2 linked regions of the Anolis sagrei genome follow. The main gene of each other region encodes a partner of the protein of the gene in region 2 in a complex. Links are inferred from orthologs where the notes say so. Each region holds a gene or a part of one and is shown on either strand. Other genes may lie near its edges.

What was found. Proteins that work in one complex are often made in the same cells at the same time.
Region 1: the proteins of PTPN3 (region 2) and MAPK12 are in contact, whole or in part, in a crystal structure (PDB 4QUM), measured with the Homo sapiens proteins. The link is inferred for Anolis sagrei from reciprocal best matches to the Homo sapiens genes PTPN3 and MAPK12. Residues at the interface, in NP_002820.3 of Homo sapiens: Arg655, Leu671, Asn674, Arg675, Tyr676, Lys677, Asp678, Val679, Arg751, His812, Ser843, Ala844, Gly845, Ile846, Gly847, Arg848, Met883, Gln886, Thr887; in NP_002960.2 of Homo sapiens: Met182, Thr183, Gly184, Tyr185, Val186, Val187, Arg189.

The regions. Positions count from the first base shown.
Region 1 is NC_090025.1:124,756,245-124,763,876, forward strand, and holds the start of MAPK12 (mitogen-activated protein kinase 12), read right to left. Parts: upstream 3,209-7,632; 5' UTR 2,993-3,208; coding exon 2,877-2,992; intron 1-2,876. UniProt on the Homo sapiens protein: Serine/threonine kinase which acts as an essential component of the MAP kinase signal transduction pathway.
Region 2 is NC_090026.1:59,187,662-59,195,409, forward strand, and holds the start of PTPN3 (tyrosine-protein phosphatase non-receptor type 3), read right to left. Parts: upstream 3,040-7,748; 5' UTR 3,035-3,039; coding exon 2,890-3,034; intron 1-2,889.

The sequences.
Region 1 (7,632 bases), on a different chromosome or scaffold from region 2:
ATAGCTGCTGATAAAAAGACTTGAACTCTTCTTCTCTCTTTTTTTTCTTTTCCAGTTTCTTTTAAAACAGTGAAAACCTCTCATTAATAAGATTTTATAATAAAACATTGGGAACTCATTTCCCACAAGGAACATTGCTTCCTACTTTTTCTCCCCAGCAGGAAGTTCTCTGAAATACAGTCAACAAAGCAAAATAGTGAGTCACTTCCAGATGGGCTCAAGGCAAGAAATTTTCAGGGAAGTGGGTGTGCTGGGATGAGATGAAGCATTTCCTTGTATCGCCCCAAATATTTAATTCCTTGCACATGGCCTGTTGTCCAGTGCAACGTTTACATGCATGAAACAAGCTCTTCAACACATATATAACTGCAGATTTACATTATTTTGATGCACTAAAAGTTTATACTAGTATGTTTTTAAAATGAGAGTTATAACACAGGCCTGCAATGAAAACAGTTTTCCAAAATGTATCTTTCCTTAAGAGTATTTTGGGAAGCTGAATTCAAAACACACACAAACACAGAAAAAACACTGCACCATGCACAGTTCTTTCAAAAATTTGATTCCCCAAATTTTTGAATGAACCCAAATAATGATGGATCTGGACCAAACTTGGCATGAATACATGACATGCCCAAATTGAAAACTGGTAGGTTTGGAGGGAAATTGGCCTAGACATTTTGGAGTTATAGGTACTGGGATTTATAGTTCACCTGCCATCAAAGAGCACTCTGAACTCCACCAAAAAGTGAATTGGACCAAACTTGGCACACAGAACCATCATGACCAACAAAAAATACTGGAGGTTGTAGGGGGAAAATTCACCTTGATTTGGAGGAGTTGTAGTTCACCTACATCCAAAGAGCACTATGAACCCAAACACCGATGGATCTGGACCACACTTGGCACACATACCTGATATGTTGAAATTTGATTATCGGGGGTGGGGGAACTGACCTTCCTTTCTGGGAGTTGTAGTTCACTCACAATCGGTGACTTCCACAATTTTTGGTTGTGTCAGGAGCAACTGGAGAAACTGCAAGTCGCTTCTGGTGTGAGAGAATTGGCCATCTGCAAGGACGTTGTCCAGGGGATGCCAGGATGTTTTGATGTTTTTACCATCCTTGTGGGAGGCGTTTCTCATGTCCCCGCATGAGGAACTGGAGCTGATAGAGGGAGCTCATCCACACTCTCCCCAGATTTGAACCTGCGACCTGTCGGTCTTCAGTCCTGCCAGCACAAGAGTTTAACCCACTGCGCCACCGGGGGCTCCACTTCCACTAATGATGGATCTGAACTAAACTTGGCATCTAGAAGCCCCATGACTAACTCACCCTACTGGAGGGGTTTGAAGGGATTGACTCACCATAGTGCAGTGGTTCTCAACCTTCCTAATGCTGCAACCCCTTAATACAGTTCCTCATGTTGTGGTGACCCCCAACCATAATATATTTTCATTGCTACTTCATAACTGCAATTTTTGAACTATTATGAATCATAATGCAAATATCTGATAATCAGGATGTATTTTCATTCATTGGGGCGTATCGGGAATTTGTGCCAAATTGGGTTCAGTGAATGAAAATGCATCCTGCTTAGCAGATATTTATGCACTATGGTGGGTCAAACCCCTCCAGTAGGTTGAATGAGTCATGGGGCTTCTGGATGCCAAGTTTAGTTCAGGTCCATCATCGGTGGAGGACACGGTTTCTCTGGTTGTGAGTGAACTACAACTCCCAGAAAAGGTCAGTTTCACCCCAAACCCCTCCAGTAAACAAATTTCAACATATCAGGTATGTGTGCCAAGTGTGGTCCAGATCCATCAGTATTTGGGTTCACAGTGCTCTCTGGATGTAGGTGAACTACAACTCACCCAAATCAAGGTGAATTTTCCCCAACGACCTTAATAATAATAATAATAATAATAATAATAATGTATTATCGAAGGCTTTCATGGCCGGAATCACTGGGTTGTTGTAGGTTTTTTCGGGCTATATGGCCATGGTCTAGAGGCATTTTCTCCTGACGTTTCGCCTGCATCTATGGCAAGCATCCTCAACCCAATAATAATAATACTTTATTTATAACCTGCCACCATCTCCCCAAGGGACTTGGAGCGGCTTACATGAGGCCAAGCCCAACAGTACATCAATAAACAAAAGCAATAAACAAAAACAATAAATACAATACAATTAATATAAATCACATATAAACAATAACCAATAAACAGTAACACACAAAGATTTACAAAACCTATGGCCGGGCCAAAGGTAATAGTTTAAAATTTAAATTCAGTATTTTCTATTGGTCGTGATGGCTCTGTGTGCCAAGTTTGGTCCAATTCCCTTTTTGGTGGGGTTCGGAGTGCTCTTTGATGGCAGGTGAACTATAAATCCCAGTACCTCCAACTCCAACATGTCCAGGCATTAGGAAGGTTGAGAAACACTCGTTTTAAGGGGTCATTAAAAGGCTAAATTCCTACAAAACCAGCATTCCCCCCCCCCCCCTTTTTTTTGGTTCAACATTCTGAAGAAGCATATTTGAGGTCAATTCAGGATCTCCAACCCCTACAAAACCAGCATTCGTGTTGTTTATTGTTGTGATGGGACACATTTGCGCCTGAGGCGATTTGAAAAGTGAGAACGCCCAGTTGGTAGTGGAGTTGCGCCTTGGAAGCCAGTGCTGAGGCTGAGAGAGAGTGGCTCACCCGAAAGGGGCGTGAAACCGCGTTAATTCTGCAGTGTAGATGCCCCAATGCTCCAATTCTTCCCCCTTTCCCAGGGACAGAGCCCCAAAGAGACCCAGTGAGGGAGGTTCAGGCGTGGCCTCCTCTTCCCCCCTCCCTCCCTCATTCCCTTCCTCTTTCTCGGACTCACCAAACGGCGCCATAGGCTCCGGAGCCCACCGCCTGCAGCTCCCGGTAGCGCTCCCTGACCTCCCACACCGTCTTGGTGATCTCCTGGCGGTGGAAGCCTTTCTTGGGGGAGGACATGGCGTCGCCCGCCTGCCTGGCTTCCTTCTCTCCCCCTCAGTCAGACTCGCTTCCCTCCCTCCATTCACTCGCTTCGACAACGACGGGGAGGAGGAGGAGGAGGAGACCTCTGTGTGAAAAAGCTTTCCAGCTGCTGGAGGGAACTGATAGGAGCATTTTTCCCCCTTGGCCTCGAAGGGGAAGCCCGTGTTGGCCTGCTTTTCCCGCTTTCATTTCCCCCCACGAGGAAAGTCGCCTTCTGGGAGGCTTTCCCTTTAACCCAGGCATGGGCCAACTTCGGCCCTCCAGGTGTTTTGGACTTCAACTCCCACAAATTCCTAACACTTTGGAGTGCTTTGTTAGCCGCCTCGAGTCCCTTCAGGGAGATGGTGGCAGGGTACAAATATTTTTTTTATTTTTCGTGTCAGGAGCGACTTGAGAAACTGCAAATCGCTACTAGTGTTAGAGAATTGGCTGTCTGCAGGGACGTCACCCAGGGGATGCCCAGATGTTTTTGATGTTTTACCATCCTTGTGGGAGGCTTCTCCCGTGTGGGGACATGGGGAGCTGGAGCTGACAGAGGGAGCTCATCTGCGCTCTCTCTGGATTTGAACCTGCGAGCTGTCAGTGAGTGTCCTGCTGGCACAAGGGTTTAACCCACTGTGCTACCGTGATAAAAATAAAAATAATTTTATTATTATTATCTGGCCATTGGCTATTGTTGATCTCCAGGGAAGGCCTGGTTCCATAAAAAGGTTTTAACTTGAGTGTGAAAGGCCACCAAGGAGGGGGCCGATCACACCTCTCTGGAAAGGGAGTTCCAGAGCCTCAGGGCCACCAACAAAAAGTCCCCCTCTCTTGTTCCCACCAGCCACACTTGCCAGCCGCACTTGTGACGGCCTCTCCTGTTAGTCTCAGGGTTTGTGTGGGCATGCAGGAGGAGGCGGCCAGGATGTTAACTGGAGCTCTTTACAGAGAGAAGTCAACCCTCCTGTTTAAGGAGCTCCACTGGCTGCCATTTACCTACCAAGCCCAATTCAAGGTGCAGGTGCTTACCTACAAAGCCTTAAACGGTTTGGGACCTGCCTACCTGCGTGACCGCATCTCTGTCTACGAACCCACGTGCTCCCTTCGTTCATCCGGAGAGGCCCTGCTCGCGATCCCACCTGCGTCGCAGGCGCGTTTGGTGGGGACGAGGGACAGGGCCTTCTCTGTGGTTGCCCCCCGACTTTGGAACACCCTCCCCAAAGACATTAGACTAGCACCCACGTTGGCAGTCTTTAGGAAGAACTTGAAGACTTGGTTATTCCGATGTGCCTTCCCAGAATAGGATAATCTCCAGCACTCTGTCCCAGAAGCACTTTATTAGAGTTTAATACTCTCTGCACATTGCACTTGCCCAGAACTCCAACATACCACCTCACACACCCAGCACTTTTTAACCTGTACCCATCATTGGCCCGGCCCTGATTTTATTGTGTAATAGTGTAATGTTTTGTTGTGTTATTGCTTATGTTTTTAATTTGCTGCATTGTTATTGTTTGTTGTTATTGTGTTGAGGCCTTGGCCTTTGTAAGCCGTATCGAGTCCTTTGGGAGATGCTAGCAGGGTACAAATAAAGTTTAATAATAATAATAATAATAATAATAATAATAATAATAATAATAGATGTGGTCCCTCAAGTAGTCTGGGTTCGAACCATTTATGGCTTTATAGTTGTAATAAGGGAGTTGTGTGCTCCCTATAAACAACCCTGTTGAACAATCTGGTTGACAGTTGGATCAGTTGAAAGTTTTTAACACCCTTCAAAACACATTATGGTAATATAATGGCATATGCCGTTAAGGCCAAATCAGATGTCCATCGAAACATGTGCAGTTGGCAGTGTTATAACTGTGCAAATGCACACCTGGCCATTAAAACCACTGAGAATCTAGATTTAGGGCTGAGTCTAGGAGTATAATAAACTTGCATCTTCAAGGGAAGTGTAATCCCATCTAGTACAGACTAAATCCCAGATTCCTGATCTACCTTTTGACTGACCTTTCTATCTGGTCTGGATTAAGCTTCGTTTAGTCCATTGTTGTTGACAAGGACAGTTTGCAGCTCAGTTCAGAATCAAACAAAACTGTATTTAGAGTTTTGATTATTTTTTCATTCCCTGCAAGAGTCACCATACTCCAGACGACAACCTCTATGATCTATAATGACAGTATGTAGACGATCATTCTCCAGGGCTGTGATTCATGCAACCCTCCAGATGCTGTTGAATTGCAAATACCCATAGCCAGCATAGCCAAGGGTTAGAAAACTGAAGTTCAACAATATTTGAGAAATGCATGATTTCCACCCTGCCTTAGTTTTATCCTCAGAGTTGGCAACTTAATATAATAGTTATGCATTCATTTGTTGCATATCCTTTCTTTTTTCCAGAGATCTCATGGTGGCATGCAAGCTTCTCCTCCTTCCCAATTTATTTTCACAACAACCACATGAAACAGGTCAAACAGGAAAGGATTTTTGATCACATACCAACCATGTTTAAGCTGGAAAGGACAAGGGACATTCTCCCTGCTTTTTTAAATAAACAATGCCTTTTACTTGTGATGACTGGATTGTGGCAGATGCCTTGGAGAGTTGTCTCTCTGACTCATTCACCACAAACAGAAATATGGCCTCTTTTGGTATTCTATCCAACACCTCTCCCTATGGTCATGGCAGATTATTTCCAAAAGAGAGACTAGAAGCAGGCTGAAATAAAAGTACAGTTATTTGAGCTGAGGTCTATTCACACTGTATAGTTTTCTCCTCCTCTTCCTTCCATTGGAACTGCAATGGTTCCATCCTATGGTTTAACGGCAGTTAACAACAAAAATTGCCAGTCCAGGATTTTATAAAATAGAATCATACCAGTTAAAGTGGAATCATAGCACTCTAATTGTATCATGTGAACGAACCCTTGGGATCAATGTAGAGTGGCCTGTACTCCAGTATTGGCTTTGGGCTGATCCAGTCCTTCAAAGTAGCTTTCCTCATATGGTAGGTAGTACAGCAACAGATGCATAATAACATGACATTACCACTTCTTTTCCATCGCACCTTGGGGGCTTATGTGTCATTAAAACATTTATAATGAAAGTACTACAAGAAATAAAGTTTGATAAAATTATACCTCTAGTAATGGCACTTAGCATGGGCTGGCAGGAGTTGCTTTGATCAAATTAGTTCTCATTCTCTAGCAGGACAATTGCAAATGTTGCAATGCAGCCTGGTGAAGAACAGATTTCTTACAAGCTTTCCCAGCTAGCATCCTATTTCATCATATGTGTGAAGTAATTTGCAAGCTTGGGTTATAATAGAGGATATATTAGGTTTACAACAAGGTGAGAACTAAAGATAACAGAAATACCAATATAATTTTAAAAATTCTGTGGGTAGGAGTATATTCCATCTGGTAGGCTTCCAGCTGGTGGCTCATGATATTTATTGAGGCAGACAAAATGCTTGTCAGTATGGTTTTGCAATGGGTGTATGTTAAATAAACCCGTATATTAACTACAGCATTATATGCAACTATCTGACAGTTGTTCAGTTACAAACACAAAAGGAGCATATAGACAAAATGGGAAGAAGTTCTGATTTCTGTTGGGAAATGAGTAAAGAATATCATTGTTCCTGAATTGTTATATCCAGCCAGCATGACCACTAAAGGTAAAGGTAATCATTTTCCCTTGACATTAAGTCTAGTCGTGTCCAACTCTGGAGGGTGGTGCTCTGTTTCTAAGCTGAAGAGCCAGTGTTGTCCATAGACTCCTCCTAGGTCATGTGGCTGGCATGACTGCATGCCGTTACCTTCCTGCAAGAGCAGTACCTATTCATCTACTCACATTTGCATGTTTTCAAATTGCCAGGTTGGCAGAAGCTGGGGCTAACAGCGGGAGCTCATCCCACTCCTCGGATTCGGACTACTGACCTTTTGGTCAGCAAGTTCAGCAATCCAGCGGTTTAACGTGCTGCGCCACTGGGGGCTCCTAGCATGATCACTAGTTGTTACCAAAATTTACAAAATAATAACTTTACCAAGCTCTGCTCACCCTAACCAATTTTGATGTGTGCACATTTGCCTGAGATCTTACAATAATGTAGATTGTAATGTACAACTCACATTTCTATTGTACCTTATGCCATAAGATATATATTAGCCTTAAAGTTTCTCTCCAAAATATTCATTGCTCAAGTGGAGCAAGACAGAAAAATTAAATATCAAGTATCCATGCAGCCAGTTCATTACTGTTTGGCCCCCAGTGGAATCATAGGACTATAATTGTATAGTGTGAACAAGGAGATACATTTTGAGACCCTCCATGCCCACTGGGGATACCCTGCTGATAACACTGAAGCCTATAGTTTGACTATATTTGAGGCAGAAGCATATCACAGAATTGCATTGGAGGACCCAGAGAAGTTCACAAACACTTCTGAGAGGATTTGGAGGGGGGAGGCTGTGAGTAGTGAATTCTAACATCCACAACAAAAAGTTAGCTTTGATGGTGGTGCTAGCCTGACTTATGCCATCACAACTCAACATGTCGATACTAATGGGATTTTACATGAATATAACACTATTCTCACTGACCATTTACTTAATACTATACCTTGAT
Region 2 (7,748 bases):
ATGGAGCTCCAGTGACCCACTCTACATCCTGGTGCACTTTGGAGGAGGACAGATCATGGATGATGGGACTTCAAGTACCTCCACTCCCCAAGACTGCTGCAATCTCATCTAATGACCAATCAAGACCAAAGTTGGCACACAGAGCCCCCATGACCCACTCTACATCCTGCTGCAGTTTTGGAGGAGGGTTGACCATGGATGATGGAACTTCCAGTACCTTCACTCACATTCTGAGACCTCTGCAAACCTCATCCAATGACAGATCAAGACCAAACTTGGCACATAGACCTCTCATGACCCACTTTACGTCCTGGTGTTGTTTGGAAAAATTTGGAGATGGATGATGGGACTTGAAGTACCTTTGCTCACTTCCTGAGACCACTGAGACCCTAGCCAATGACTAATCAAGACTAAACTTGGCACATGGAACTCCAATGACCGACTCTACATCCTGGTGCAGTTTGGAGGAGGACAGACCATGGATGATGGGACTTCAAGTACCTCCACTCCCTTCCGAAGATTGCTGCAACACTCTTCTAATGACCAATCAAGACCAAACTTGGCACACAGAGCCCCCATGATCCACTCTACATCCTGCTGCAGTTTGAAAGAGGATGGACTTTGGATGATGGGACTTCAAGTACCTTCACTCACTTAATGACACCAATGCCACCCTCATCTAATGACTGATAAAGACCAAACTTGGCACACAGAGCCCCCATGACCCACTCTATATCCTGCTGCTGTTTGTAGGAGGATGGGCCATGGATGATGGGACTTCAAGTACCTTCACTCACTTCCTGAAAATAATGCAGCCGTTATCCAAAGACCAATAAAGACCAAACTTGGCATACAGAACCACTATTACCCACTTTCTCTAATAACCTGGGCAATGCCGGGTCCCCAAGCTAGTATATATATATAAATGCTCTGTGCATAATCAGTACCCTAAAAACAAAAAACAAAAAAACCAATGAATGAAATCACACCAAATTTGGCCACAAAACGTCTCACAATAGGAGTGACCATCACTCAAAAATTATGATTTTGTCATTTGGGAGTTATAGTTGCTGGGATTTATAGTTTACCTATAATCAAAGAGCATTCTGGACTCCACCAATGATGAAATTGAACCAAACAACGATGGAATTGAACATCTAGAGAGCACTGTGGACTCAAACAATGATGGATCTGGACCATACTTGGCACGAATACTCAATATGCCCAAACATAAACACAGATGGAGTTTGGGGAAAACAGACCTTGACATTTGGGAGTTGTAGTTACTGGGATTTATAGTTCACCTACAATCAAGGAGCATTCTGAAGCCCACCAATGACAGAATTGGGGCAAACTTCCCACACAGAACCCTCATGACCAACAGAAAATACTGTGTTTTCTGGTGGTCTTCGGCAACCCTTCTGACACCTCCTCGCAACCCCCAAAGGGTCCCAAACCCCAGGTTGAAAAATGCTGCCTGAAGGCCATCCAATCCAACTCCCTTCACCAAGGCAAGAAAACATAAACATAGCCCTCCTGACAAAGGGCCATCCACACACACACATATGTGTATATGACAGATGCAGTATCAAAAATTTGAAAGGGATCCCTAAAGAAGGACAATGATATGTTGTATGTTCCAGAGTAGGCAAACCAGACATCAACACTGGCAAAGAAACAGCAAGAAATACTGTTTACCCACAAGCAGAAAGACATTACATATATTGGAAACCAACACTTTCTCATTACTTTATTTTCCAGATCACCAGACTGGGCCACAGCAACGCGTGGCAGGGGACCACTAATATTTGTTAAAATTGTTCTTCATTTTAATTATTGTATTGTTTTAAAGTGTTTTTTTGCACTACAAATAAGATATGTGCAGTGTGCATAGGAATTCATTCAAGTTTTTTTCTAATTATAATCCGGCCCTCCAACAGTTTGAGGGACTGTGACCTGGCACTCATAGAATCAAAGAGTTGGAAGAGACCTCATGGGCCATCCAGTCCAACCCCCTGCCAAGAAGCAGGAATATTGCATTCAAATCACCCCTGACAAATGGCCATCCAGCCTCTGCTTAAAAGCTTCCAAAGAAGGAGCCTCCACCACACTCCGGGGCAGAAAGTTCCACTGCTGAACGGCTCTCACAGTCAGGAAGTTCTTCCTAATGTTCAGATGGAATCTCCTCTCTTGTAGTTTGAAGCCATTGTTCTGCGTCCTAGTCTCCAAGGAAGCAGAAAACAAGCTTGCTCCCTCCTCCCTGTGGCTTCCTCTCACATATTTATACATGGCTATCATATCTCCTCTCAGCCTTCTCTTCTTCAGGCTAAACATGCCCAGTTCCCTAAGCCGCTCCTCATAGGGCTTGTTCTCCAGACCCTTGATCATTTTAGTCGCCCTCCTCTGGACACATTCCAGCTTGTCAATATCTCTCTTGAATTGTGGTGCCCAGAATTGGACACAATATTCCAGATGTGGTCTAACCAAAGCAGAATAGAGGGGTAGCATTACTTCCTTAGATCTAGACACTATGCTCCTATCTGTTTGAAGTGTTTGAGGACCCCTGGTCTACATGGTTTGGATCCAGATGACCTGCAGGATCGCCTTCTCCCATACAATTTGCCCTGTACACTTGGGTCCTGGGGGGGGGGGGGGGGGGGAATTCCAATCAGACTATTTTTCATCTTGCCATGTTCCCTGCTGGGGTCCCCAATGGGATCAGGAAACCAAAGCCCCTCCCCCCGCCTCTCACCCGATTCCCTCAACTGAGGGCGGGGCCCCAGGAAGAAATGCTTCTGGCTTGGCCAACTTTCCTCCTTCCGCTCCCTCCCCTCCTCCTCCGGCCGCTCCAGCTCCAGCTCACAACCCTCCCGCTTGCTTGCTACCTACCTGCCTGCCTGCTGTGGGGAGGGGGCTCGGGGACCCTGTGCCTTCCACCTGCGGCTGACCACGAGACCAGGAAGCGCTCTGCTGCGGGGCGAAGCGGAGGCAAAGCCAGCCCTCTCCTTCCACGCGCCTCCCACCTCGGCCCCATCTCACGCGCTCGCGGGGCGCCCCCCAGCGGTCAACACGCGTTTCCTGGGAGCTGGCCTTAGAACGCCGCGTGGGAAGGGCTCCAGCTGTGGGAACAACGCCCGCCTCGCGCCAACGCCGGGCAAAGGAAGGCGGGAGCAGGGGGGCTGTTTATCTCTTCAATGCTGTCCCCAGTTTACACCAGGAAGTGAGCGCCCTTTGAACGCTCCAAAACGTTTTTTTGCTGGTGACGCGCTTTTGCATGAAGGAAAACAAGAGAGACGCTTGTGGGCCTCAGGAATCATCAGAGGGGAGTGAAGGGCCCTTCCACACAACCATATAACCCAGAATATTGTTTATTTATTTATTTACCTTACTTATATACCGCTGTTCTCAGCCCGAAGGCGACTCACAGCGGTTCACAACAAATACGAACAGCAAAAATTCAGTGCTATAGTATAGAAACAGTTAACAACCTAACACATTACACAATTAATAAACAGTTACTACAATACCCATTCACTGTCGTCTCGTCATCAAAAACATGTTCCAGATTCGTCATCCATTGTTCCATTCCAGTGTTCATTAACCAATCATTGCACTAATTATTGGAACGCCTGCTCAAACAGCCAGGTCTTCACTTTTTTTGCGGAATACCATTAGAGATGGTGCTAGTCTAATGTCCGTAGGAAGGGCGTTCCACAGCCGAGGAGCCACCACCGAGAAGGCCCTATCTCTTGTCCCCGCCAGCCGAGCTTGAGAAGCAGGCGGGATCGAGAGCAGGGTCTCCCTGGAAGATCTCAAAGTCCTGGTGGGTTCATAGGCAGAGATGCGGTCGGATAGGTAGCTTGGGCTGGAACCGTTTAGGGCTTTAAAGGCCAACGCCAGCACTTTGAATTCAGCCCGGTAGCAGATCGGTAGCCAGTGGAGTTGGGGCAACAGGGGGGTTGTATGCTCCCTGCGCTCCACTCCTGTTAAAATCATGGCTGCTGAGCGTTGGACTAGTTGGAGCTTCCGAGCAGTCTTCAAAGGCAACCCCACGTAGAGAGCGTTGCAGTAGTCTAAACGGGATGTAACCAGAGCGTGGACTACCATGGCCAAGTCAGACTTCCCAAGGTACGGGCGCAGCTGGCGCACAAGCTTTAGCTGTGCAAATGCTCCCCTGGTCACCGCCGAAACCTGGGGTTCCAGGCTCAGCGATGAGTCCAGGGTCACACCCAAGCTGAGAACCTGCGCCTTCAGGGGGAGTGCGGCCCCATCCAACACAGGCTGTAACCCTATGCCCTGTTCGGCCTTGCGACTGACCAGGAGTACCTCTGTCTTGTCTGGATTCAATTTCAATTTGTTCGCCCTCATCCAGACCGTCACAGCGGCCAAGCACCGGTTCAGGACCTGGACAGCCTCCTTAGTAGCAGGTGGAAAGGAGTGACAGAGTTGGACATCATCCGCGTACAGATGACATCGTACCCCGAAACTCCGGATGATCTCCCCCAGCGGCTTCATGTAGATGTTAAACAACATGGGAGACAATATTGAGCCCTGAGGAACCCCACAAGACAATGGTTGTGGGGTTGAACAGGTGTCCCCAACAACACCTTCTGAGATCGACCCTCTAGGAATGACCGGAGCCACTGCAAAACAGTACCTCCAAGACCCATCCCCGCGAGGCATCCCAGAAGGATACCGTGGTCAACGGTATCGAAGGCCGCTGAGAGGTCCAGCAGCACCAACAGGGACACACTCCCCCTGTCGAGCTCCAGGCGCAGATCATCCACTAAGGCAACCAATATCATATATTATAGCAGATAACCCACAATGTCTGCTTTGAACTGGATTTGTTTATTTATTTATGTCGAACATTTTTACCCCGCCCTTCTCAACCCCTGGGGGGACTCAGGGCGGTTTAAAATTGGCAATAATTCAATGCCACATCATAAAATACAGAATAACAAATATAACAAACATCTATATAAATAAAAATGTCATGTTCGTTTGTGGTACCATCAGAACTCAAAAACCACTGGGGGAATTGACACCAAATTTGGACACAAGACACCTAACAACCCAATGTATGTCCTCCACTCAAAAAAATTGATTTTGTCATTTGGGAATTGTCGTTGCTGGGATTTATAGTTTACCTACAATCAAAGAGCATTCTGAACTCCACCAATGATGGAATTGGGCCAATCTTAGCACAAAGGGACCAACAGAAAAAACTGGAAGGGTTTGGTGGACATTGACCTTGAGTTTGGAAATTGAAGTTCACCCACATCCAGAGAGCACTGTGGACTCAAACAATGATGGATCTGGACCAAACTTGGCACGAATATTCCATATGTCCAAATATGAACACAGGTGGAGTTTAAGGGAAATAGACCTTGACATTTGGCAGTTGTAGTTGCTGGGATTTATAGTTCACCTACAATCAAAGAGCATTCTGAACTCCACCAATGATGGAATTGAACCAAACATGGCATACAGGACTTCCATGACCAATGGAACACACTGGACATTGACTTTGAGTTTGGGAGTTGTAGTTCACATACATCCAGAGAGCACTGTGGACTCAAACAATGATGGATCTGGACCAAACTTGACACAAAAATTCCATATGCCCAAATATGAACACAGATGGAGTTTGGAGGAAATAGACCTTGACATTTGGGGTTTGTAGTTACTAGGATTTATAGTTCACTACAATTAAAGAGCATTCTGAAACCCACAAACGACAGAAATGGGGCAAACTTCCCACTCGGGAACCCCATGGCCAACGGAAAATACTTAAGGCCATCCAGTCCAACTCTCTTCACCAGGGCAAGAAAATGTAATCAGAACCCTCCTGACAAAGAGCCATCCAGTCATAAATATAGATAGATAGATATGATTCTCTCTCACACACACAGATATAGTATCATGGATTTGAAAGAGACCCTTAAAGAAGGACTATGATATGTTCCATATTACAGAGTAGGCAAACCAGACACTCTCCACATCAACACTGACAAAGAAACAACAAGAAATACTGTTTACTCACAAGCCTAAAGAAATTATATATATTAGAAACCAACACTTTCTCATTACTTTATTTTCCAGATCACCAGACTGGGCCACAGCAACGTGTGGCAGGGGACAGCTAATTATTATAATAAAATGGTAGCTAAGAACTAGTTTGCTTTTTATCCCTCTCAAACCCTTGCATCCTTTTTTCTTTTGCATTATGTCTTATCTTTGTTCGCTGCAAACATCTCCGAGTCTTTTTTTAGCTGTAAATGGAAGTAGGTCAAGTAAGTACCGTATAAAAATTTCCTTTCTTAGAATGGTACTCGTGCCCTCTAGTGATACCATTTTCCATGGTTTTCTTACCCCATTCTTGCTATTGAATAACATTTTTTTAATGTGTTGGTTTAGTGGGATGGGAGCCCAAGTTGAAAGCTGTGAGGAGGCATGAATGGCATCAGGACTCTTAGCTGTTTACCTTTTACTTTAAGAGTTTATATTCTGTAAGTATGTGTTTTGTTTCTTGAAGGTACAAGAAGGATGACAAGGGGAATCCTCAATGTGCAGGGAAATTTAGCATAACCCTGAGACAAGATCCATTTAAGTCTTTAGTTTTATACTTTCAGAGTTGAAAGCACAGCAAGAAAAACAAGAAAATCCCTACTGGTGTAAGGACACAAGATGATTGTGTTATTGTATGTTATGGATATGATAGAAACACATGCAATATTTTTGGAATATAAGTGTTGGAAACTACTTTGGTTGACACTGGAAGAAGAAAAAAATCCATTCTGAGATCACTATGTAACTCCTCCAAAAATACTATTTTTGCATTTTTTTAAAAGTAGCTGACAGTTCACTCCTAATGAAGTGGGAAAGTAGGACTTGCACCTCTGCATTGTTCTTTTTGTGTATGTTTATGTGTGTTTATGTGTGAGAAAGATAATAGTAAAAGCTTTCTGGCTTCATTTCACTCACTGGATATGGGGACTAGTTGTGAGCACAGGCTTTTCACAAATTCTTTTCCTGAGGGCAGAGAAACTTGACATCCCACTCCCTCAAAGCACAGAATATCATAAATCAGTCACAAGTCTGCCCATTTTTGTGGCAGGTAGGCATTTAAAAGATTATATAACTTTCATAGTTTGTTTTACTACAAGACTACAGGAACTAATTTGATTTATTCACAAAGGAGTAGTTTGAATATTTGAGCAACGAAACCTAACCTTGTTGACTGTTTCAGACAGGAAGGTGCAGCAATAGGTACATCTTTCCCCTTAAATGGCGGGATAGAAAATAAATAGCTTTGAATAGCGCAGGCATGGGGAACCTTCGGCTCTCCAGGTGTGGTGGACTTCAACTCCCACAATTCCTTGAGGCCAAGGTAAGCCTTTGGGGTGAATGCCGAGCCTCAAGGAATTGTGGGAGTTGAAGTCCACCACACCTGGAGAGCCGAAGGTTCCTGACCCCTGGAATAGCGTCTATAACATACTGCCATCCCAAAAGATACAAAGCAATTACAACTTTCACTGATGAGTCCAATGTGATCCATCTCCTGTCTTGACTATTAACACCAATAATTAGCTTGTCATGAGCTTGTTTTTCAGTATCAGAGCATGGGAAGGCGTGAACTCCTATCCTAAACAGAACAAACTCCAGCCTTCCAGATGTTACTGCATCACAGCTCCCATCAGCTTGTGTCATGATATCTAATGATGAGGAATACAGGAGTTGTAGTC